Linked DNA regions of Drosophila melanogaster. The protein of the gene in region 4 interacts with the protein of the main gene of each other region in a pairwise test. Each region holds a gene or a part of one and is shown on either strand. Other genes may lie near its edges. The genes, in order: uri, Nop17l, corolla and Pp1alpha-96A.

What was found.
Region 1: the proteins of Pp1alpha-96A (region 4) and uri interact in a two-hybrid assay, tested with the Drosophila melanogaster proteins (2 studies listed by BioGRID).
Region 2: the proteins of Pp1alpha-96A (region 4) and Nop17l interact in binary tests that used the Drosophila melanogaster proteins (3 or more experiments, as listed by UniProt).
Region 3: the proteins of Pp1alpha-96A (region 4) and corolla interact in a two-hybrid assay, tested with the Drosophila melanogaster proteins (2 studies listed by BioGRID).

What each region holds. Positions count from the first base shown.
Region 1 is NT_033778.4:24,563,963-24,568,611, reverse strand, and holds uri (unconventional prefoldin RPB5 interactor), read right to left. Parts: upstream 3,059-4,649; 5' UTR 3,027-3,058; coding exon 2,997-3,026; intron 2,927-2,996; coding exon 2,628-2,926; intron 2,572-2,627; coding exon 1,173-2,571; intron 1,121-1,172; coding exon 653-1,120; 3' UTR 530-652; downstream 1-529. Other genes in the region: Fcp1 (TFIIF-interacting CTD phosphatase), read left to right, coding at 10-152; CG11414 (uncharacterized protein), read right to left, coding at 3,836-4,033, 4,102-4,299, 4,367-4,649. UniProt on the Drosophila melanogaster protein: Inhibits the activity of serine/threonine-protein phosphatases flw/PP1beta9C and Pp1-87B. Required for germ line cell viability and differentiation, normal transcriptional activity and maintenance of DNA integrity.
Region 2 is NT_033778.4:7,800,345-7,808,011, forward strand, and holds Nop17l (Nop17 like), read right to left. Parts: upstream 6,042-7,667; 5' UTR 5,882-6,041; intron 5,223-5,881; exon of another isoform or gene 4,757-5,222; intron 4,595-4,756; 5' UTR 4,393-4,594; coding exon 3,168-4,392; intron 2,858-3,167; coding exon 1,837-2,857; intron 1,775-1,836; coding exon 1,642-1,774; intron 1,225-1,641; coding exon 1,099-1,224; 3' UTR 441-1,098; downstream 1-440. Other genes in the region: PolZ1 (DNA polymerase zeta subunit 1), read left to right, coding at 1-414; sax (saxophone), read left to right, coding at 6,194-6,254, 6,728-6,857, 6,972-7,007, 7,225-7,300, 7,364-7,667. UniProt on the Drosophila melanogaster protein: Required for cytoplasmic pre-assembly of axonemal dyneins, thereby playing a central role in motility in cilia and flagella.
Region 3 is NC_004354.4:17,629,256-17,634,018, forward strand, and holds corolla (corolla), read right to left. Parts: upstream 2,793-4,763; 5' UTR 2,745-2,792; coding exon 2,627-2,744; intron 2,563-2,626; coding exon 2,272-2,562; intron 2,115-2,271; coding exon 1,927-2,114; intron 1,875-1,926; coding exon 807-1,874; 3' UTR 536-806; downstream 1-535. Other genes in the region: CG8326 (uncharacterized protein), read right to left, coding at 1-16, 86-168; ND-24 (NADH dehydrogenase (ubiquinone) 24 kDa subunit), read left to right, coding at 3,167-3,205, 3,335-3,853, 4,008-4,178.
Region 4 is NT_033777.3:24,516,551-24,522,872, forward strand, and holds Pp1alpha-96A (protein phosphatase 1alpha at 96A), read left to right. Parts: upstream 1-1,719; 5' UTR 1,720-2,108; coding exon 2,109-2,157; intron 2,158-2,293; coding exon 2,294-2,642; intron 2,643-3,045; coding exon 3,046-3,331; exon of another isoform or gene 3,332-3,389; coding exon 3,390-3,537; intron 3,538-3,792; coding exon 3,793-3,944; 3' UTR 3,945-5,781; downstream 5,782-6,322. Other genes in the region: DZIP1, read left to right, coding at 40-770, 826-982, 1,041-1,487; CG13622 (uncharacterized protein), read right to left, coding at 6,040-6,322.

The DNA.
Region 1 (4,649 bases), on a different chromosome or scaffold from region 4:
ATGTTCCAGGGGAAGACCTGCCTTCCGACCTGGAGCTTGGATCCGAGTCCAACAGCGAGAAGGAACCGGAGGACGAGGACGACGGCGAATGGAACATGATGGGCGCCGCTCTAGAAAGGGAGTTCCTCGGCCTGGAGGACTTTGACATGTAGAAATTCTGTAGCATCTGTGAACACCAGACAGGGCCATGAGACCCCGCGTTGGAGGCATCCCTGCATCCTGCTGGCCAGACACTCAAGACATATTTGATTCTCGGTAGACCATGATTGAACACAATGGAATGGGCTGTGTCCTTGAGTAGAGCGTCCAACTACACTTATGCTTAGGGTTCGTACTGTATGTATTAGCTGTTAATATGTACTTTAGAATAGCCTGTAAGATAGCGCACACGTGCGGGCGGCCAGGTCCTTCAATCGCGTACATTCTTGAATCAAAAACTCTCATTCTGATCTAATGTAAATTGAAGCCTACTGTAAATGTAAATGTTTTAAAAATAAATTCCGTTTCAGCGGACTAGTACCTAGTGTTTAATTTTAAAACGAATGTACACCACACCAGTAGTTGTTTATTGTTTGCGTTGTGTTTGTAATACAAATTCACATTAAACTTGAACAAATATACTAGTAATATCCAGCTGAAGTTTTACTCTTCGCTACGTTTTGTTAAGGGCTCGCTGCTCCTTGAAGCGGCTAACCCGCTTCTTTGGCGCATGCGAGTCGATGAACTTGCCCGGTGGCAGAGGCTCCGGTGCAGTCGGCTCCTTCTCCACAAGATCATGCATGACCTTTTGGTAGGCGCTCATGTCGCGCAGGTCATCGTCTAGGGTGCGCTCCTTCTTCTTTTGATTCCGGACCTTCCTGCCCTTCTTGGGCTGCTGGTTGACATTATGCGGCTCCAGGTCCACAGCAGATTTGTTTCGTAGGATCGATTTGGTCGCTGATTCAGGGTCAGTAGCGTCGCCCTCCGAGGAATTGGACTTGGAGAACTTCGCTCGGTCCTTCTCATACTTCTCATAGAAATCAAATGGATTTCCAGGTATATCATCACTTTGATCATTACTGGTCGGAGTTATGGAGCCGGAATGTGTGAAACATATTTCCGAAGAATTGGGCTTGGAGAACTGCAAGGCCAGGACGTTAGCTTATGATCTGATCGAACTAACATGATCTTACCTGACTTCTGGGATCTTCATAGGCTGATCCACGTGCAGCTTCGCTCATTATGGGAACTTTAACGTGCTCCTCGCCTTCAAAGCCGTTCACATAGATAGGAAACGAATCATTAGGCCGCGCCCGGTCCTTCTCATACCTCACATAGAAATCAGAGGGCTTTCCAGGTATGCCATCGCTTTGATCACTACTGGGCGAAGGTATGGCACCGGAATGTGTGAAACTTATGTGTAAAGTGTTTATGAGTCCCGTAGACTCTTCCATAATTCGATTGAGTAAATCGAAGTCCTGGACACTCTGGTTTTCCTTGACAAACTCAATGTTTCGTTCTACTTTTTGCAAGATATCCTGGGTTGTTTGACGTTTTGTTTTAATGGATGCGGGTTGTGGATCTCCTGCCGGTTTAAGAGGTGCATTTAGCTTGATGATATCCCTCGAGTTCTTTTTCGCATTGGGCAACATTTCGGCAACGGTCTCCTCCCTTCTGAATTCAAGTTTTTCGTCGTCGAGGGCAAACGAAATGCGACGTTTATTTGTGCTGGATTCAGATACAGTCGAAAGCTCTTTGCTTGGCTCATCTGGAAGATGATTGTTTTCGACAACCTCCTCCTCTTCCTCGCTGGCCTCCAGTTCCTGCTCAAATACCAAGTCCTGTAGGTCGTCCTCTAGCATGACCACCACATTCATCAAGTGAATCAGCTCATCGCTTATAAAGTTGACCTTTTGTATCTTCCTCATTTTTGCTTTAAGTACATGCAGTTGAGCTCTGAGGAACGGCTCACGATCTTCGTTGGGTAGCAGCGACATCTGCTCCCGTATGGTTCGCACCTCTTCCTCCTGGTCACCCTCATCATCATCATCACCATCATCTTCCGATATGGGATCCTGTATTTCCACGTTTCTATTGGTTCCTGCAGTGCGTTTTTTGGAAGATGGAGTTTCTGTTTCTCCGGACATGAGCTGGCGCACTAGGTTATCCGTTGTTTTAAGGCTTTCTTCTGCTTCTGAGCTGAGCTCATCGGCTTCGTTCTGCTCCTCGGCTTCCAGCTTCTTCCACAGCTCATCCTCCTCTTCCTGGGTTAAGGATTTAGGACTACTTTCGTTGGTGGATTTCAGAGGTTCTTGATTCAGCATATCGTGCAGCTGATCCTCGTCGATATTATCTGGATCTAGACCAAGTTCCTCCATCATTTCTCGCTCTTCTAGCTTCCGCAGCACTTCATTATCTTTCTTCACAGGTTCCGCCTCCCGTTCGAGGCGCTCCTTCTGCTTTTGCTGTCGCATTCGCTTTCTGTGCTCCGCCAACCACTTGTTGTGAGACTCCTCGTTGAAATCCTCCACAATTTCTACTTGGTCGCCACTGGGAACCGCCCCCTCCGCAAATGGAGTGTGGAGTTTTTTCCTGTTGGAGGAGCGTAAACATTACTCTTCCCTACTTCTATTTACTGATACACTTACTGCCACAGATCGTTCTCCACGGCCAGCTTCTTCAGCTGCTCCTCGGCCAGCTTCAGGCGGTACTGGCAGATCTCCTTGGCCTTGTGGGAGGAGCAGGCGGAGAAGTAGCCCTCGTAATGACCCACCAGAAGCTCGTTGGTGTGGATCAGCTCGCCGGGCATCAGCGCCTTCCGTCCAATGGGCACCATAACCTCCACGCTGAGATTCTTTGCGAACTTGTCCAAGTTCCGGATGGTGCTCTCATTATCGCGCTTGAAGGCTTCCCAGCGCTCTGTCTCGCTGGCGTTCGTTTGGAGGGCCTGTCGTACAGGGTTCCATAAAGTAATTACCCCAGTTTCTCCATTCATATATGGTAATTAATAACATTACCTGTAGCAGAGCATCCTCTCGCCGGTCCATTGTTATTGTTGTTTGCGACTTTAGTGTGACCGTAGGTCTATCCAAAAAAAATAATCTTCAGTAATGCATTTTCATATAAATAATTATAGTAACATTATAACCAGTAATTAATATGGATTCAGACATTTATGTGTTACGTAATAAAAACTTAATACAAAACAGTGTTAGTTAAATTTGATTTATTTAAAAATGTACTAACGCGAGTCTGCGCGCCTTTATAGATTTCTACCTTCATAATAATTCTATGTAGAAAAATGGAGAATGAGCTTTTCTCGAATTTCATATTCGACAAAAGCTCTACTTTTCCTCAAATCAGAAAACTCAACTACCAAGCATCGCTCCCCAGCTAGCAAACCACGTAGATAAGAGCAGAAGAGCTCCATATGTCCGATAATAAATCTGCTCCATACGACCCAACAACTACAACCAATTTCCATTTGGTGATAACCAATTTGCGACCACCATATGTGGACATTAGATAGGGCGACAGGTTAGGCAAACATACCAGGTGATTACGACTAATAATTGTGATTGATTTGAACTTTATTAGGTTGCGGGCATTTGCTAGACACAAGCTCACTCGTAAATATTAGAAACGCATCCAAGATAAGCTTCTGTCCGGACTAAGTCACATTGAACAGATGGCTTCGTGGGTCGCGCTACATGGACTGATGGGTTCGGCTAGTTCTTTTTCGGGTTTCCACTCACAACATGATCTGGGGACATGGTTCCTAGATGGTTGACACGGTATATATGTACATAGAAAATATACAGGGATAAAGCTTTTGTTGTCCTACAATCCGACCACCTCAATTGCGGTGCGTGTTAGAGGCTGAGCTTCCGAGTACGGGGAAGTTTTTGGTCAGCTCATGCGCCTGCTGGTGGCTCTTTAAGTCGGCGGTGATGAGGATCTGTTTGCACACCTTGCAAACTTCAAGCGCGGGCACGGATTTGCGCTCGGCGGGCGGCAAGCTGTTCAGGTGTTGTTTGTGCACTAGGTAAAGTTCCTGGAAATGGCGCAAATAATGGAGTTACTCTTTATTTACTATTATGTGGTTTTGCAAACGGGTCTTACCTGTTGCTTACTTATGTCCGGCAGCATGGCCAGCAGCTCCGGGAACAGGTTGTAAAATGAGCTCAACATGGCGCACTGGCAGTGCTCGTAATAGGCTTGGCCAGAACAGGATCCGTCGCGGAACTTAGACGAAAGCAAGCGGAATTCGTTCAACGCCTCTGGGGTCTTGAGCAGGGACATAACCTCATCAACCAATTTCTGGACGCAAGACAAATGCTTTTTAAGTTAATGTTTTCTAACTAATTGGCAAACGACGTTAGCTTACCTGATTCCTGACCTCGGTATCTGGTGGATCGGTGTACGTATAGGGGCTGGGTACAATGTCATACGACTCGCCCAGCGAATTGGTGAACGTGAGATTGTTGGGCAGCTTGGCCACCGAGTTAACAGTCACGTTGGACACGAATCCTGGTGGTGGCTTTAGCGGTCCGCCAGGTTTTAAGCCGGGAGGAGCACGTATTGGCGTAGACGGAGCCCCATTGGTTTTTTGTTCGTTGTTATTATTTCTCTCCTTCGGTTTGGCCGTCTTAGGCTGATTCTCCTGGTTG
Region 2 (7,667 bases), on a different chromosome or scaffold from region 4:
CTCATAGGCGCCAATGTGCACGACTGGTTTGCCAGTCTGCCGAGGAAGTTGCTCATGACGCCGGCCGTTGGAACCGCCAACGAATTGGCGGGTGCACGCGGTGCCAAGTCCACCATCTCCCAGTATTTCTCTACCACCAGCTGCGTGATCGACTGTGGCCGCCAAACCAAGGCGGGCATTTGCCCAGACTGCCTGAAAAACGCCACCACGTGCGTAGTTGTGCTCTCAGATAAGACAGCGCGTCTGGAGAGGGGCTACCAACTAACTCGGCAGATATGCCAGGCTTGTTGCGGACGCCTGGGTAGCCTACAGTGTGATTCCCTCGACTGCCCAGTGCTGTATGTCTTGGAGGGAAAGCGAAGGGAACTCCAGCAAATCGAGCACTGGAACAAACTCCTTGAACACCACTTCTAATGCCAATCAATACTCGTATGCAGGTTGGATTTCTCATTCATAAGAGATGTATATGTATTTTAACTTGCAGCTCGCTTATAAAAGTTAAAATTACATGCATTGATTCAGCCAGTGCTTCTAAACATGTACGTAGCTTATACTCTACTTATGCATTGGGTGATTTTGTTGTGTGTAATACTAGAGGAATTGTTAACTATTGATATTGTTTAGGTTTATCGTGTTATGATTGTTATATGAGCTGAGCATGGAGCCAATAAACAAGCGTTTTAATGTTTACTTAAAACTTGTAGTTTGCTAACTTGTAAGACATCATTGTTGTGTGTTCTTCAATGAGAATGAATATGAAATTATCGATCTATAATAATAGGTTTCTTTTTCAGTTCAGCGTAGGATTTCATCTTGCGTTTTAACAATTTCAATGTTTAACCGAATTACATAACACTTAGTATTTGATGTAATGAACATTTTGATTTCTGATTTAGCCCTGATTCGTGTTGCCTAAATACAATTTTGTGTATTTCCAATTGAGCAATTCGCCTCGATATAAAAGGAATTACAGTATAAATATTAAAAAAAAAAAAACGTTGCGTTAGTTAACATTTATGTAGTAGCATTTAAAAACCTTGAAAACATGCCACTAAATCACTCAAAAAATATGAATATATTTATGGTTTAAATAACATCCTAATCATCCATTTCAAACATCATGGTGTTCTTAGCATCCGATTCATTGTTGTTGCTGTGGGCACCTGCTGCTCCAGTGAGATCCAATCCGCTATCGTTGCAGTTCCTTGACGGATTTTCTTCTTGCTGTAAATTAGAATAAACATTTGCATTAATGTCAGACTACCAACTAATAATTTTTCGCTCAATTTTCACACAAATTTGAAATATTGAGATGTATTATCACAAGCTAACACGCTGATGTTAACATTTCTGCGATTATTTACTGTCTACAAGTGCAAAAACTTTCCATTCCCTGGAGTTTGCTGCAGCTGCATATATTCCTGCTATAAATAAAGCTCATTTCGGATTTGTTTAGATTTCGCACACGGGTACTAGAATTCCCTAAACAAAGGTTTGATCAATATTTATGTCTGGTGTGACGAAAATAAAGCCAAACTGCCCGATTTCGCTGATGGGCCATAATTCAATTAGCAAGCTAACAGCCTAACTGCCCGCTAACTGGACGGGATATTCGCTCAATTAACTAGATCTTGATCTCACCTTGAGGGCAGAGCCCCGGGTTTCCTCGTAGTCGACAGAATCGCCCTCGCTGAGGCGACGCTGCTGAGCCCGCAGCTTGAGATCGCGTCGCTTCTGGTTCTTCTTGCGCTGACCCAGGATGCTGGAGTCGAGTCTGTGCGATTGAGTAAATTGTCAAATTACCGAGTATTATCAGGGGTTCTAGCTGGTACTTACCGGAACACTTGCTTCATAATGTGATCGTTAAATCTAACAGTCTTCTTGCAGCTCTCCGAGAGCCCGGCATCCGAACGGTCCTCCTCGGGAATGCCGCCGAATGATTGAGAGAACAGCGATGTTCCGGATGCATCCACGGAGCACGAGTACGAGGAGGAGTCGTCAATGGACGACCAGCTGTCCGACATCGAGGGTCGGGGCCCGTAGCGGCTGAAACGCTTGAGAATGCCGCGATGAGAGCGGCCAGTGCTATCGTTGCACTCCGAGTAGCTGCGTTGCTTGCGCTGCGGCGGCAACTTAAACGTGGCCCTCGGCTGAAGCTCATTAGTTTTAGCCAGTGGCTCCTGGAGGATCATATCTGCGCAGGCAGATTCGGATAGGGAGCGCTCCTTCTTATTCTTCTTCCGTTGCTTCTTGCCGGGCTTCTTGTTCTGCACCTGTTGCTGCTGCTGCTGATCGCTTTCGGGCTCTTGGTCTTGGTTCTCCTTATCTTCCTCCTCCTCCTTTGTTCCGGGGCGAATGGTAACCTTCAGGGCATGGCCCTCCTGGTTGCGCTCGAATTTGACATCGAGCGGAGCATTATCCTTCTTTGCGTTAACCTTTCCCTTGCTCTTCACATGGTACTGCCCATGAACTGGGTACTCTTTGAGCTCCGTGGCATCTAGACCGGCCAGGTAGCTAGCCGGAGTCTCGCTCTGCGAATTCAGACAAAGCTTGAGCACCACATTGTTGTCCCAGGCCTCTGCCTCCGCGCTCTCGATGGAGGAATCCTCATGCTCCGCCGACAGTTCCACGTAGAAAGCGTAGTGGGTGGGATAGTAGCCACTGCCGATGGTGGCGAACTTCAGGTGCAGGCTCCGCTGCTCCCTCAACTGCTCAATGGAGTCCGGTTGAACGTTGGGCACGTGCAGCACAAAGGCCATCACATTGTCCAGCACGTTGCAGTCGAACTTGCTGGGCAGCTGGTAGTGCACGGAGCTCTTCAGGAACGGGCTATTGGCAGGTGCGACACTGGGCGATGCTGAGGGATCACACAAATATATATATATTAATATATTTATTTGAAAGAGTATCAAAATAAAAGAACAATCCAATCCAAAAGCCAACCATTCTCTTCGCACAAATTAAACAAACTTAAAAGCTTTTAATCGAAAATAGTTCGATCCACACAATATTATCTTATAATATTATCATACATAATACAACTGCCTATTATAATAATTAATAATAATGGATGGAATGGATGACCCCTTGTACGTGAGATTTACAAGTTTTCATTGTTAATTATATTTACAGACTCTTAAATATGATATTATTAATGGTTTACTTACAAGTCTCGGAAATATCCGCCTTGGAATCGCTGAGTTCGCCATCGGGATCCTCCTCCACCGGCGATTCGCTATTGGAGTGCAGCTCCACGCCGCTGTCCTCGCGGCTGAAGTGGCGCAAGGTTTCGTGCATCTGGGCTTGCTCCTGGATGCTCTTCCGGACCACAGGTAACGTGATGCTCAAACGACGCATATCCGTGTCGAAGCGGGCCCGGCCCGCCTTGTCGTCCACGATGAAGGGCAGGTCCAGCTTCAGGCGGTACTTGGCGCCCTGTCGCTCGCTGAACAGGTATATGGACTTGGAGGTGACGTCCAGCTGGCACTCGGCTGTCGAGCGGAGCAGGGGGAGCTCGATCTCCACGACAAGAGAACGAGGAACGGTCACGTGCAGCTTGGCATCCAGCTCGTCCGTGTACTCGGACAAGTCCACGTCGTGGCTGTGCTTGATCGTATACCTGGGCACCGTGAACTCCGGCACCGGAGAGGGTTTCGTTTTCATGGGCAGGACACGGGGCTCTTGTTTCCCCGGAGCGGGTGGCTTTGTGGGGAACATGTGCGCCAGGGGATGTGGCTCCTGCTCCTCGGCCGTGGGATTATCGGCCATCTTGCGTATCACAGTGGGACGGGGAATACCCTTGTAGTCCAGCTTGGGGAACTTGAGGTTGGCGCGATCCAGCGAGACCTTGTACTCGCGTTCGATTGCGTCCAGTGCCGTATCGATGAGGCATTGGCGGAACTGTTTGTTCCGCATGGCCAGGTGAAGGGCGTCGGGATGGAAGACGACGTCGAACACCTTGCAGTGGTTGTTTTTCGCATCGAAGTCATCGCGCGACGTGGTCTGGGCCATCGGAATGGACCAGCTCAGGCCCCGGCTACCACTCGACGGATCCGTGGCCACCTCATTTTTGGGCCTCTGGATCTCCTCACAGCTAGCGATGTTGATGAAGCACTTGAGCTCGCCATCTAGAGCGGTCTTGATCACGAATCCCGGCTTCGGGTGGATGAACCTCACCTCCACGCCACGCTCCTTCTCCAGCTGCGTGATCTCTGACTCGTAGATCTTGCGGTTCTCAGGATCCTGGATCTCATCCACGTAGTCGAAGAAGAGCTTGCGGAACTCCTCCTTGCCAAAGGCCTCCTGGAATCGGTTGAACTCGTCCCTGCTTATATCGAGCCGCTCATCGTCACAAAGTTTGGATTGTTTATTACGCGATCTAGATGCGGACATAGCTTTCTCGCAGGCACACTTCACTCACGGAGGGATCTCTTCGGTCTCCTCTTCTCTCCTCGGCACTTTTACTACACAAATACAAATTTTCTTATCACTTCGACGGGTTTTGATTTTTTGTTTGTTTCTATTTGTTAGGGGTTGCTCAGTTTTGGGCCACGTTTCCTTGGCAAATGCGTTGGGTTTCTATTTCTGGAAGGTTCTGAAAGTACAAATAAACATAGATGTAAGTACGGACAATCTTGTAAGATAATCAGCTATCTTATATTACGAATGTATAACTGCAATAACAACAAGACAAGTCGTTTGGGAAAAATTACTAGTTTTTCTGTTTCGGCTATACATATGTAAGTTCTATGTATACCTGGCTATTTTATAGTTTTGCAAATAAACCTTGAGGGCATGACTAAATCTTGCGGAACCTGGCGAAACTCTGGAAACTTTCCAATCGAATCTGAGATAAGCCAAGTAAGTACCAGGTCCCAAGGTTGCCCTAGGTCCTGACCATTTCGCAGCCAAAAAAAAACACCGAGCTGGCATTTAATCAAATTCTAATCAGCAGATAGGCAAATAAATATTAAATCAATGACGCAGAAAGGTCGCTGTCGAAAATCACCGGCTATCCGCCGGATTTACGGGCATTATGTAAGTAGATACACATGTGTGTAGATGACTACAAACTGACCACGAGTTTTTTTTTTACTTGTCGGCCAATAAATAAATAAACGAACTGCGTAGTTTGTGAAATTCTAGGAGAACGCGTAAATGTTTTCTGTTTTTTTTTTCGAGTTTTGGTGCGATGCTTTCCCGACGAGCGTTTTTATGAGAATGGGAGCGCTACGCCCGAAACGCCGGCAAATATTGGAGGCTCTTTGCGAGTCGAGCGGCCCACAGAGAGAGCGTCCTCTGCGCAGTGAGGGGCTTTTGATAAGCGCGAAAAAAACCACTTGCCCCAATTGTTTTTGTTTAGCGGGATTCTGCCCCCGCAGCCCCTGCGCTCACACACACATTATGCGATTTCTGGCGCAACCCAACTAATTGTACAATAAACGACCACATCTCTACACACATATGTATGTATATACAAAGATAATGTTTGTATTGCGTCTGCCAACTGATATTACAAACTTATGTACATACATATATGTGCAGGAGGGCGGGGGTGGTAATTGGGGGGTCAGTAAGATGATTCCCTACGGCGTGTGTATCTTCTCCATTGCAAGGAAAACGAGGAAAATTATAACAGTTACGTGACTAAAAACACATGTTTGCGCTGTGGGAGGGGGAAAACTCTGTCGTTTGATCGATACTAGCTGAAACCCATTGATTTTCTGGACAAACCGGTCGCAGTGGACATGAAAACCCTAACTAAGCAAATGTTTTGTTATATTCCATGACACCGGGTAGGTAAATCCGTTAATTTCACTCAGGAAAACAACTTAATGGCACGAAAACTCCTCCACTGAAGATCTCCTGCTTCTCCACTTACCTAAATTGAACACAATTATGCTTTGTGAACACAACGGCACTGAATAAAATAATTGTCTGTTAAATGGGCTCCTTTGCCAAAGACTCTTTGATGGGAGTTCGAGTTTGACGTTCTAGAAACTTTTCCGCTGACCGGCTGCTCGTGTTGGTGTGCGTGTTGTGCTTTGGTATTTTTACGCAGGGGATTTGGGAAATTTGAAGACCCGGTATTTTATGTGAAATATGTTATGTGCAGATGTGGGCCCTGGTCACACTGCCCGCTAGAAGTATATCGATAGGTTCCGATAGGCTCGGACAAATAACATTTCTAGCAATGGAGTCCAATATATATTTAGTTTTTCTATTGACGTTTCTGCTGTACAATAATGCCAGAGGTGGGCATCAATTAGTGTTAATCAATTACCAAGTGCTTGGTGAAGAGAGTGCGCAAGAGAAATTTCGATTTTATGGGGTTTTAGAGCCACATATAATGCCTTGAAAAGTCACTGAGTGTTTTGGGTTTGTTTTCATATGCTGCGGTTCTGGCCAATTGCGTTGCGTATTTGGCCAGGCCAAGGCGAAAAAAGTGCCCTCGGAATGCTGATTGGTGAAAGAAGCACCTGATGGATCCCACAGAATGTATTATATAAACGGATGTCGTGGGCGTTTGCAGCATAAGTGCATTTTCTCAATGATTTACCCACGCACACCACCGTTCTGTGTGTGTATACAGAACTTGCTGGGGCGCCTGTGTGCATGTGTGTGTGTGTGTTAGTGCTGGTGGCGTTTGTGTTGGTTGGGCCGTCCATGTGTGTACATATGTATATGCTATGTGCATATGGTTTAATGTGCATTTGTTATGTTTCAGCCGAAATCAGCGATCATCTGCGGGAGGACATACCGGACTTAGACATGGAGCTCTCCTCCGCCTCATCCGCCCATCTCAATGGCAAGGAGCTACCGGCCGTGCCACAGAACTCGGTGCAGACGCATCCCAGGTGATTATATCTTAAGTCTTGAGCCCATAGCTTGTAGCTCCCGCTTCCGCCCAAAGGCTTTGTATTGCTAATCTCATTTCCCTCCTAATTGCCATGCTGCTAATCCTTAATTAGGAGACACATTAAGAGTAAGCGCCGCATGAAGAGAAGGTAAAACCTACACGACTCATGAACTAAAACATCATAAACTGGTTAACTTTTAGTTAAAATTTTGAAAATATTCATAATTTTACTTAAAAAACCCCATTTTTTTTAAATATTTTATAGTATATTATACTTTTATACCCAAATGTTAACAATTAAAAGCTGCCCGTTTGCGTAACCGATTCTTCTTCAATCTTATTAAACTCTCTCTTTTTTTTATCAGATACAAATGCTACTCCTGCGAGCCGCCCTGTCGGGATCCCTATGAGTTTACCCACACCTGCCAGAATGCGATTCAGGTGAATACTCCACCTTAAACTTGATTAAAACTTAAATGTAACTTAATTTCCGAACTTCAACAGTGCTGGAAGTCGCGCACACGCGATGCCGATGGTCAGGTGCAGGAGTCACGCGGCTGCAGCACCTCGCCGGATCAACTGCCCATGATCTGCAGCCAGAACTCCTTGAAGATCAACGGGCCCAGTAAACGCAATACGGGGAAGTTCGTGAATGTGGTCTGCTGTGCCGGTGATTACTGCAATGAGGGAGACTTTCCGGAACTGCTGCCCTTCGACAGCAATGATGTGACGGTGATAACCGCGGATACCAGTAGCATAAGCAAGATGCTCGTCGCCGTTCTGGGTCCTTTTCTGGTCATCGCTCTGC
Region 3 (4,763 bases), on a different chromosome or scaffold from region 4:
CGTTACTTTGGAAAGTCTGAAATGTGAAATGGTGCAGATATTAGTTTAGCTGCCTTTTTCGACTGACTTGCCACTATGAACAAACTTCTTCTCCTTCTGTTCCAGCTGCTTGAGGGGATCACGGACGCCGTGGTGCTTGCGCACGGGAATCTTTCGTTTCCGAGCCATTTATTTTGGGTTTTGGTTCAATTTTTGTAAAACAAACTCGTGGTATCGACAGCATGGGTTAAAATACTAAGCGCGATGCATGCTGACAAATACCAAAACAAACCATAAATATACCAAATCGATTAAAGCTTGGACTCAAACCATTGGCGCCCAGAATTACAAATGAAATATTAAAGTTAAATATATATTAGATTAAATATATAAATGTATTTTACACTATGTATTGTATTAAGTAGTCTTCATATTCCCCTATTTTATAATATACATTTTTAATAAAGATTTATATGCTGTAATGAGAAAAGTATTTTATTGCAAGTGGTAAAATTTACTGTTTGCAGTAAAATTAAATATTTAAAGTCACGAATTTGTCTTAATTTATTGTTTTATTAGTTTATAAGCAACGACAAAATGAAGAATAAGTCTGAAACGGCACTTTCGAACTGAATACGTATGATTTAAATGTACATATGCATATTATGTACGCAAATTAATTTCATTATAAAGCTACAAATAATTTAGCTGAAGTGAAATTTTTTTTGATTGCAAATGGCAATGAATGAATAAGTATCTGGATATTAATTAATTGTCCGTTCTTATAAAGAACATACATTAATTTTTGACCAAAATACGTTAACAATTTAAAGTATGTACGCCGAGGCGGCAGTAGGTGTAACATCATTATCATCGCTGAAGTTCAGCAGGTAATCATCGTCAAAATTGTTGTGGGGCGAGCTGAATCGAAGTGATTGATCATCAAAGTTGTTGAATGTGGACGACGGATGCTTAAAGTAATCCGGCATTGGTTGGCTCATTGGGAACTCCTCCTCCTCCAATTTTAGTCGCTTGCAAGGCGGCGCCTCGTTTTCATCGCGATTGCTACCATAGTTCATAAACTGGGTTGCAGTAAAACGATTAAGAGTGCCCTTGGAGGTGCTGGGTATATCGTCGCTGGCCCAGGAAGATATGTTTTTGAAGGGAGAGAGAGTGTCGACTCTAATTATTTGTGGTTTATCGGAAATTTCATTGGATAGCTGCTCATCAGTCTTCGGGTTTTCGCCGATTTTTACTTGTTTGGCCGCATCAGCCGGCTCCTCCTCTCCTGAAGCCTCCCCTCCGGATTCCTTGTCATCCGATACGGATTCCTCGACTTCTGAGCCAGATTTCTCATCATATCTATCCTGTTCTAGATGCAAAACCTCTTCTGACTTTTCTACTTTTACCTCCTGCTCAAATCCTTCATCTTTCAGCGCCATTTCGAATTCTTCTTCTGATATTTCCTCAAAATCTTCGTCTGTGGCCTCCATTTCGTCACTGTCCTCTTCTAATTCCGCATTTGGGACACCTGCCTCTTCTGAAGGAGAAAGCCAATCGGTCTTCTCAAATTTCTCCTCTTCGATATGGCTTATCTCTGGATAGGGAGAAAAACGCACTTGCTTTGTTGGCGAGTTGGAAATGGCAACAGACTCGACCTCCTTGCATTTGATCAAAATGGATCGCAGAGGAGTCTCCAGCTTCTTAGTAGTGATCTCTCTATTCACGCTCGTCATGGATTTATTGTCATCTGGTCTGATATTCTTAAAGATGAAGTTGTTGAGGAAATCCGAAGCGGACTGAAATGGTGAAATGGTGCTAGCGGATGGAACACCAGCCAAACTTGGTTCAGCGCCCTTAGTGACACCCGTTTTAATCAAATTCCTTTTTTGCAACTGAAAAACGGAAAAGTTATTCACTTGGAATGGATATTTCGCAGCTACTCACCTCTTCCTTCAATTCGTTTATCAGCTTTCCCATCTGTAAAACGCTGACTATCTTCTTATTAAGCTTATCCGTCATACTTCTCAGCGTAATTGTCCACTCGCGATCCGACTGGTCCAGTTGGTCGTCCACTGAGGCTAGCTCCTTATCTGCCTCTTTTTTTAAGGCTTGCTCTTTTCGGAATTCCTGGACTGAAATAGAAGCTACTTGAGAATCATTTAAATAACACAAATGAACTTATACTATCACATAGGGTAAAAAATATTAAACAAAATGTTTTTTATTGTTTATGATTATATAGCATTCAAATGGATTCCGTATTCAATAATACCTCATACAAAATCTTACCGATGCTGCGCGATTCGAGGATTGTGTTCTGCTGATTCTCTTGCTCGGCCAAATCCTCCTGCAGCTTAATTTTGCGCTGGAACTCCTGCTCCTTGCGATGCACCGTGTAGTAGAGGATGTCCTGCAGCCCGGCCATTTCGAGCAGCTCCTCAATTCGCGTGATCTGGAACATACAGTCCTGTATCATGGTGTTGGCCTGTGCCATACCGGCACCGTTATCCTCCACTACCAAGGCGCACTGCTTGACCAAGGTCAGGTCGAATAGCACCTGCTCCAAACGCGGCCCTACAACTGAACAAGCAGAAACATGTATGTATAAATCTTACTTGGAGATTCGCGCATTATGCCCACTCACTCTGCTCCTCGACGATCAATTCTTTCCTTTTCTTGAGTTCCTTCTCGAGCTGCGCCATTTTGGTATCTTTTGGCCAATTTTGCCCCATAAATTCTTTGACAAGTGGATATTTTTCCATATTTTGTCCGTTCAATGTTTCCCCCCGATAAGCTTACAAGTTTGCGCGTTCAGTAATTTATCGGATATCGAATGCTAAGGCACAGCGATCATTGTTGAAAAGTGTCATAGATACTGAAGTCACAGCGATATATATCGCTTACTGTTTTAGAAAACTTATTTTAAAAAGGAATAAAAAAATGTAACGTACCGCTGAATATTAATTTAATTACAAGTTTTATTTGTTTAAGCTTTTTTTTATTAATGTTGTACAAGATTTGTAGAGATTTGCTCATCTCTGACGACAAGTGCCAGTGTTGGCAAACGCTCCGCCGAAAATCAGCTGTAAGCGGTGCTTGTTAAAAAAAAACTGACAGCAGCCGACGGACTTCACATAACATAAGAGCAAATTTTCAGCCTTTTCATTATTTTGGAAACGCCAGAATGCTGACAAACTGTGCCTCCAAAACACTGGCCGCCGTGGTGAGTAGCGCAGCCATCCAAACTGTCCAGTAATTCGCGGTGTCAACCAGGGAAGGCAACCTGTTCCCCGAGTTATATAATTGGCGACAGGAAAACAATAACATTAAGGATATGTGTTGTTATTTGCAGCGCGCCAACATCCGGGCAATTGCCACCAGCAGTGCCCGGGCCAGCGACAATCTGTTCGTCCATCGCGACACACCGGAGGATAATCCCAACATCCCGTTCGAGTTCACGGCGGAGAACAAGAAGCGCGTGGAGGCCATACTCAGCATCTATCCGGAGGGGCACAAGCGCGGCGCCATGATCCCGCTGCTTGATCTGGCACAGCGCCAGTACGGCTGGCTGCCAATCTCTGCCATGCACAAGGTGGCCGAGATTCTCCAGTTGCCCAATATGCGCGTCTACGAGGTGGCCACTTTCTATACGATGTTCATGCGCAAGCCCACTGGCAAGTATCACATCCAGGTGTGCACCACCACACCATGCTGGCTCCGCGGATCGGACGACATCCTGGAGACCTGCAAGAAGCAGCTGGGCATCGGCGTCGGCGACACCACCAAGGACAGGAAGTTCACCATCTCGGAGGTCGAGTGCTTGGGCGCCTGTGTCAATGCGCCAATGGTGGCGATCAACGATGACTACTATGTAAGCAATTCTAATTGCTAAATGTGTTTCCTGGTCATTTGTTTGTAGGAAACGCCAGTTTCACTCTCAGCCTCGTCCAGCGTTTCAATCTTAATGCGCTGAAATCGACTCTATATTGTGCAAACATTGCTAACGTTTTTTTTTTACTTTGCAGGAGGATCTGACATCCAAGGACATGCAGGACATCCTGAACGACCTGAAGGCGGATAAGATATCGCCCCCTGGGCCACGCAACGGACGCTTTGCCAGCGAGCCAAAGGGCGAGCCCACTTCCCTGAGCGAGGAGCCCAAGGGTCCTGGCTTTGGTCTGCAGGCCGGTCTGTAGAGGATGAGCAAGGAGCAGAACCTATCACTGATTGTCGAACGAAAGTTAAATAAATGTTAAGCAACTTATAGAGGTCATTGATAAAGGATTTTTGGATTTTTTTTTAAAAATATGCTCACTTTCCATTGGAAAGTTTCCATTTTGAAAGGTTACACATAAAATAATAACTCCCAACGAACTCGAGAATACTAGTACATTCAATTAGATGTGGAAGATCGCCAGAACCCCAATGCAAGCCAAATGTGCGTTTTTCATATCTTGACCAATAAATGATTTTATTTTGTAGTGGAAACGGCAGGTTCCCATTGCTAATTATAATGGATGTTTACTATTGCATACGTACGCATGTTCCATTACTAATTATAATGTTCGCTCATTATAATTGTATGTACAATGGCGTACGTACGTAAGAACGAATATTATGAATTAAGATGATTGGAAGAGTAGTTGAGAGGCTATTTTCAGCTGTGGCAATTGACCAATACAAACATCAATTACTCAAAGGATAAAACTAAAGCTACAGAAATGATGCCTTACATTCTACGCTGGTTGAGTGCAATTAACCAGATATAATACTACATGTAT
Region 4 (6,322 bases):
ACTCCTGTGGAAGTACCATTACAATTTATATCCTTTCAGGACATTAACAAGAGGCTGGAGGGCCTGAGCCACGCACTCGAGCAGAGTAAACAGGCATCCGCCAGCACGCCTCCGCTGGAAGATCGGGTGGCCACGCCGTGTCTGGAGGATCTGGAGCGCATACTCACTGAGAAGGTGGCAGAGATTGGAAAGGTCAGCGCACACAGGCTGGAAGAGGTGGTCTATCACCTTGAGGAGGGCTACAAGGAGAAGCTAGGGGCACTGGAGCGAGAGCTCAAGCAGCTGAGTGTTCAAAAGGTGCAGCCAGAGCCTGTGCAGACTGTGCCAGTTGCCTCGAAAATACCCAAGCCGGTGGTTCGCAAGGAGGAAACCAACATTGATCGGATTCGCAAGCAGGTGGAGAGCGAGTTCCTCAAACAGAAACATGACGATGACACCTATTCCATTGAGGAGGCGCCACGAAAAGGTTCGGAGAAACCATTCCCACAGCTGGTGACCCAAGTTCAAGTGGTGGAAAAGGAGCAGCCAAGTGCTGGAAGTTCGGACAGCAATCCGACTTATACGAAATCTCCAAGGGAACCTGCTCCTAATAAGCAGGAAACGAAAGAAGCCACGGACGTAAGCGATAGTCTCAGCCAAGAAGAGACGGAGAACGAAGAGGAGCGCAGCCTGACAGAGGAGGAGGGGACCGATGTTCCCACCTCCGGGTCGGAAGCAGCACGAGAGGATCCAACGCCAAAAACAATCAAGCCTTCTGGAAGAATCATCAAGTGAGTGTTTCGATGTTAAGCTTTCTTAGAGTAATAATAATCCACATGTTTTAAGGAGCCCTCAAAAACCACTTACTCGCAAGGATGCCCGGAAGATGGTCAACCGGAAGTTGATGTCTCACGGCTTCGATATGAAGTCCAAAGGTATTTCGCATAACTCTTTGAAGAGAGTGAACTCCGAGCTGACAGAGCACCGCAACAAACTGAAACTGGTAAGCCTATAACTGCCAAAAACTAATGAACTTTTGACAATTCTGGAATACCCTTTAGCAACATCCACATTTTTACGCCACTCGAAATCGCATCCGCAAGTTTGTCGAAAAACTGTGCTCCGCCAAGTTCTCGGAACGCGCGGAAATGTTGCTGAAGCACAAGAGTCCACTCAAGCCAATGGAGGTTCCAGGCAAAGGGATCCCGAGGTCTGCGATCTCTGAAAAGTCTGAAGAGGATATAGCCAGCTCTCAAGGCGAAGAGCAGACGGATGAGCAAACGGATAGCAGCGAACAGCAAACTCGAAGCCCCAGTCCTCAAAGACTAGTTAGTCGCGATTTCAAGGCTCGTCTGGAGGAGATCCTGGTCAAGCCGGCGGCCACTATTCGAGGAGCTTCCAAGTCGTCCCTGAGTTCGAGGCCAGTTCCGCTGCCCAGGAAGCGGGTGATGTTCAACACCACGGAGGACGGGAAGAGCTTCAATGACAGCGATGATAACCTAAAATGAGTCAATAAAGATGATATTATAATACTTTGGGTATAAATGTCAACGATACGTTTAATAGCCAATATATCATAAGATAATTATATTCCTTTATGAGTACCTATCACCTGTTCAATGTACCGTACTTAACTAAAAAATATTGTTTTTTAAATGAATTTGCATATTCCGGTCACACTACCTTTTACCGATAGCTGCGCGCCGTGCAATGGATAGGCAATCGATAGGCAATCGACTCGCGCTGTAAACAATCGACGTCACTAACCAACGTAGATGAAAATTTTTTAGTACGTCGCGAGTAAAACGTGCATTAAATGCAATAAAAGGGCAGCTGGCTAAGGATCGGAACGATTGAAGTCAGCCAACCTCAGAGGGGTGAGCAACCGAGGCAGTGAATCCGCGAATCCGTGCATCCAGCTGACCAAAGGGCGAGATTAGCCCAGCACCGAGTTTCCATCCGCACACGGACACGGCGCACACACACACAGGCACACGCAGCCCGTGCCCATCGATGAAATAACATACATAACGAACGTATACCGAAAATACACGGGTTACGGGAAATAGCAGTTGCTGCAATCGGCGGATAAGCGAACTTCAGGAAGCTGAGCAAGCGGGCCCACAAAGATGTCGGATATCATGAACATCGACAGTATCATCTCGCGCCTGCTGGAGGGTAGGTGTTAGGGCTCCAACTTTTGATTACCTTGCCCCCACCCATCATCACCCATTCCCCACATGCCTTGCCACCCAACCACCGCCCACTCTCATCACCTTAACGTAAATTTTCCCTGCTTGGTTTTCCATTGCAGTGCGCGGTGCACGACCGGGAAAGAATGTTCAGCTATCAGAGAGCGAGATCCGCAGCCTGTGCCTCAAGTCCCGCGAGATATTCCTGTCGCAGCCCATACTCCTGGAGCTGGAGGCACCGCTGAAGATCTGCGGCGACATACACGGACAATATTATGACCTCTTGCGCCTGTTCGAATACGGCGGCTTTCCGCCCGAGTCAAACTACCTGTTCCTGGGCGACTATGTCGATCGCGGCAAGCAATCCCTGGAGACGATATGCCTGCTGCTGGCCTACAAGATCAAGTACGCGGAGAACTTCTTCTTGCTGCGCGGCAACCATGAGTGCGCCAGCATCAATCGCATCTACGGGTAAGTGGGGAGGCGGCTCCAAAAACAGGATGAAGCTTGATGAAATGGTTAGCAATCTGTTCAGTTCAGCACCGAAACAATTTGCTTTCCTGCTTAGATTACTGAAACTCATTTGATTACAATTTATATTATTCTTACGACTCGTATTTACTTCTGATGACTATGTACTTTTATACATGCTATAGAACTTATAGTTGTTTATTGTTTACGTGAGCTTTAAAAATTTCCCAGACATATTGATGTCTACTTATGCTTCCAAGCTTATTAATACTTTCTAGTTTATTGACGCACACAACGATATCCATTACAATTAAATTAGCCATACTTCAAATACATAAAGTAAATGCCACATTCTATAGCAATAATCCATAAAATTACTCAACTAATTGCACTTAATTGGCAGGTTCTATGACGAATGTAAACGTCGCTACACCATCAAGCTGTGGAAAACTTTCACGGACTGCTTCAACTGCCTGCCGGTGGCCGCCATCGTGGATGAGAAGATCTTCTGCTGCCACGGTGGCCTGAGTCCAGATCTGTCGTCCATGGAGCAGATACGACGCATCATGCGTCCCACAGACGTGCCCGATCAGGGACTGCTGTGCGATCTGCTGTGGTCGGATCCGGATAAGGATACCATGGGCTGGGGCGAGAATGATCGCGGCGTGAGCTTCACATTTGGAGCAGAGGTGGGTTCTTCGCATTACACTGTTCGCCACAATGTTGTTTATGCATTCGCTCTTGCAGGTTGTGGGTAAATTTTTACAGAAGCACGAATTTGACCTGATCTGTCGGGCTCATCAGGTAGTGGAGGACGGTTATGAGTTCTTCGCCAAACGTCAGCTGGTGACGCTCTTCTCGGCGCCCAACTACTGCGGGGAATTCGACAACGCGGGTAAGTGATCATTGTTCGGGGACTTTAGTCGGAGATAAACCTTGTTTATTTGGAGAACAACCACGTTGCACCCTTGTACTCGGTGATTTTGCCTGCCGATAAGCTGTCGGCAAGTGAAAGCTGGCAACCAGATTTAAATTCAACTCGGAAAATGCGCATTTAAAAATAATCAATAATCAATACCGAGAATGAAACTACCTATGCACGACACCCGCTTCTAATGAATTGATTAATCATTATTGATTACGTTTACAGGTGCCATGATGTCCGTGGACGACACATTGATGTGCTCCTTCCAGATATTGAAACCCGCCGACAAGCGACGATTTGTTTATCCCAACTTTGGCAGCTCAGGACGTCCTTTGACACCGCCACGCGGAGCTAACAATAAAAACAAGAAAAAATAAACACTGCACACCTCGAACGAAGCACAACAACAACAGCAACTACAAACGGCCACACACACAAAACACAAATAGGGAAAACAGAAAGGAGAATCCGTGTGTCCACATTCAACGGAAAGCGCAGAGAGTTTGTTTTTATCATAAACGTGTAATCGAATCGTGAGCAACGTTATATGGGGAATATGAATCTACACAAATTAGCCTATCTTTCATTTGAAAAGGAAAAAAAAACAAAAACAAATAAGGAAAACGAAACGAATGAAATGAAATTAAGAAACCAGAAAACACAAATCGAGACACTTTAGTTCAAACTAATGGTAGTGTAAGACACTGCATAAGCAAGAATATTTTATCTCCTAATGTATTAATTTTGTTATAATATTTCCTTGCGCAAAACCCACACACTCACACACACACACACACATACACATGCTCAGATCATCCGTACAGTAGGTACCATAAGTGCACGCACCGGTTGTATTTTAATTTGCATTTCCAACTCGCACAGCATTTTAATTATGTATGCCGATCCTGGCGGCACCTTTGGCAAAGGTCTTTAACCACACTTCCCTTCTTCCTTGTTTTTTTTTTTTGCGTATCTAAGGGAATATTAGCAAATGGTAACAATGTTAAATTTTATGTTAATTAAACTGTACGAGAATGCTTTTAAATGTGAGTTGAGGTTACTACATATTACATATGTATGTACTCGAAGCACGATTTATTTTTGTAATATTTGACATCGATACATGTTTACTTAGTTTTAAAACGAGGAAAGCAATTTTAGTTGCAAGCTACAAAAGCTTGAATTGTTTACACCAAAAATATTAAAATAAACAAATATTGTGAATATTTTTTAACTGTTTGCATTACACAAACACACACATACAGGCAAGCACGCACACACGATTTTAAGGAGAACCCTGAAAAGTATGTTTATATAGACAAAAATAAACCCGAATTGAAAATCTACCTTAAGGCGAACGCTTTTGAGCGGCACTGTGTGCTCTCTGCTGATGTCAGCGACGAGGCAGATAATGTTACCCCCTTTTAATCCCCCGCCCAGACGAAAGGAAAGCAGCGGCCCCAGACCCATTAAGTGCATGTGAAACTCACACGAAATATAGAAAAAAAAATCGAAACAAAAATAAGCAAGTAATAAAATATTTGTAAACAGCAGCGCAACAAACACAGACACAAACACTGTTTATCGTACAAGTGTACACTTTTGTGTATTTTGCATTCTACGACTAACGTCGCAACATTCTAGTGCTAAAGGCCGCCACATTCAATTACAAGTATTATGCCCAGGCAGGCAGGCAGCGATCCGGAGCGATGCAGCCGGACGCAAGTTACCCAAAATGGTTTCGTTTGTATAATCCAATCCAATCCAATCCCCGCCCGACAACCAAGCAACCTACTAACAACAATCGTGTAACCTACGGACAAAAAAAAAAAAACAAAACCAAAAGCAAAGCATGAGTCCTCTTCTATTTCACACTCTAGTACTCTGTTCAATGTTGTAATGAATTCAACGTATATTTACGACTATATATGTACTTGTAATAATGCGATCCAGTACGACATCGGCTGTTTTCAACCCCCAAAAAACACAAGTCATAAGAAATCTATAACGTAATATCGTAAAATTAAAGTGTAATTGACCCCAAGAAGGAAATTAGAAAAGACAGATGGGGTAAATTTATAATGCATTCAAAGCGTAAATTGCAAAAAAAATAAAATACAATAAAAAAATAACAAACAAAAAAATCATTTAAAAAAGAGCTAAAAAATGAAACAAAAAAATACAAATTAAACAAAATGAACACAATGACGAAGCACTTGTAACAAAATAGCACTGTTTTATTAAAAAAAAAATTGAAATACATACTAGCAATAAATATGAAATTCGAGATGTGTTTTTACTTGAGTGAAATGCATGTTAGTTTCTTGTTTAAAAAAGCAAATCTATTATTTATTGTCTATATAGTTGGTGTTACAATCTAAAGCATTTCGAGGACTTTAAAATCTTATTTATAACTTTACTTTATGTTGCTTAATATATTGCACTAAATTTACTTTGTATAGCACTTTGTGTTTAGTTATATCGCAGTGAGCAACTCTTTCCCAAAGGAGCACATGTGCCACCCGTGCCCCTGCCATGTCGCTCATCCTCCTGGAGCCTCAGCTGGAGCAACTTCTGCCTTAAGGCATAAGGTGTGGTGGTGGTGCTGCTGCTGCTGCTCCTCGTCACTTCCTGTTGCCTGCTCTCATTGGCGCGATCTTTGTTCCACTTGTCCGAGTTGTTGAAAATGATTTTATCATATGCCCGCTGCAGGCGCAGCTTATCCTGGCGGACATCACTGAAGCATTCGCTTGTG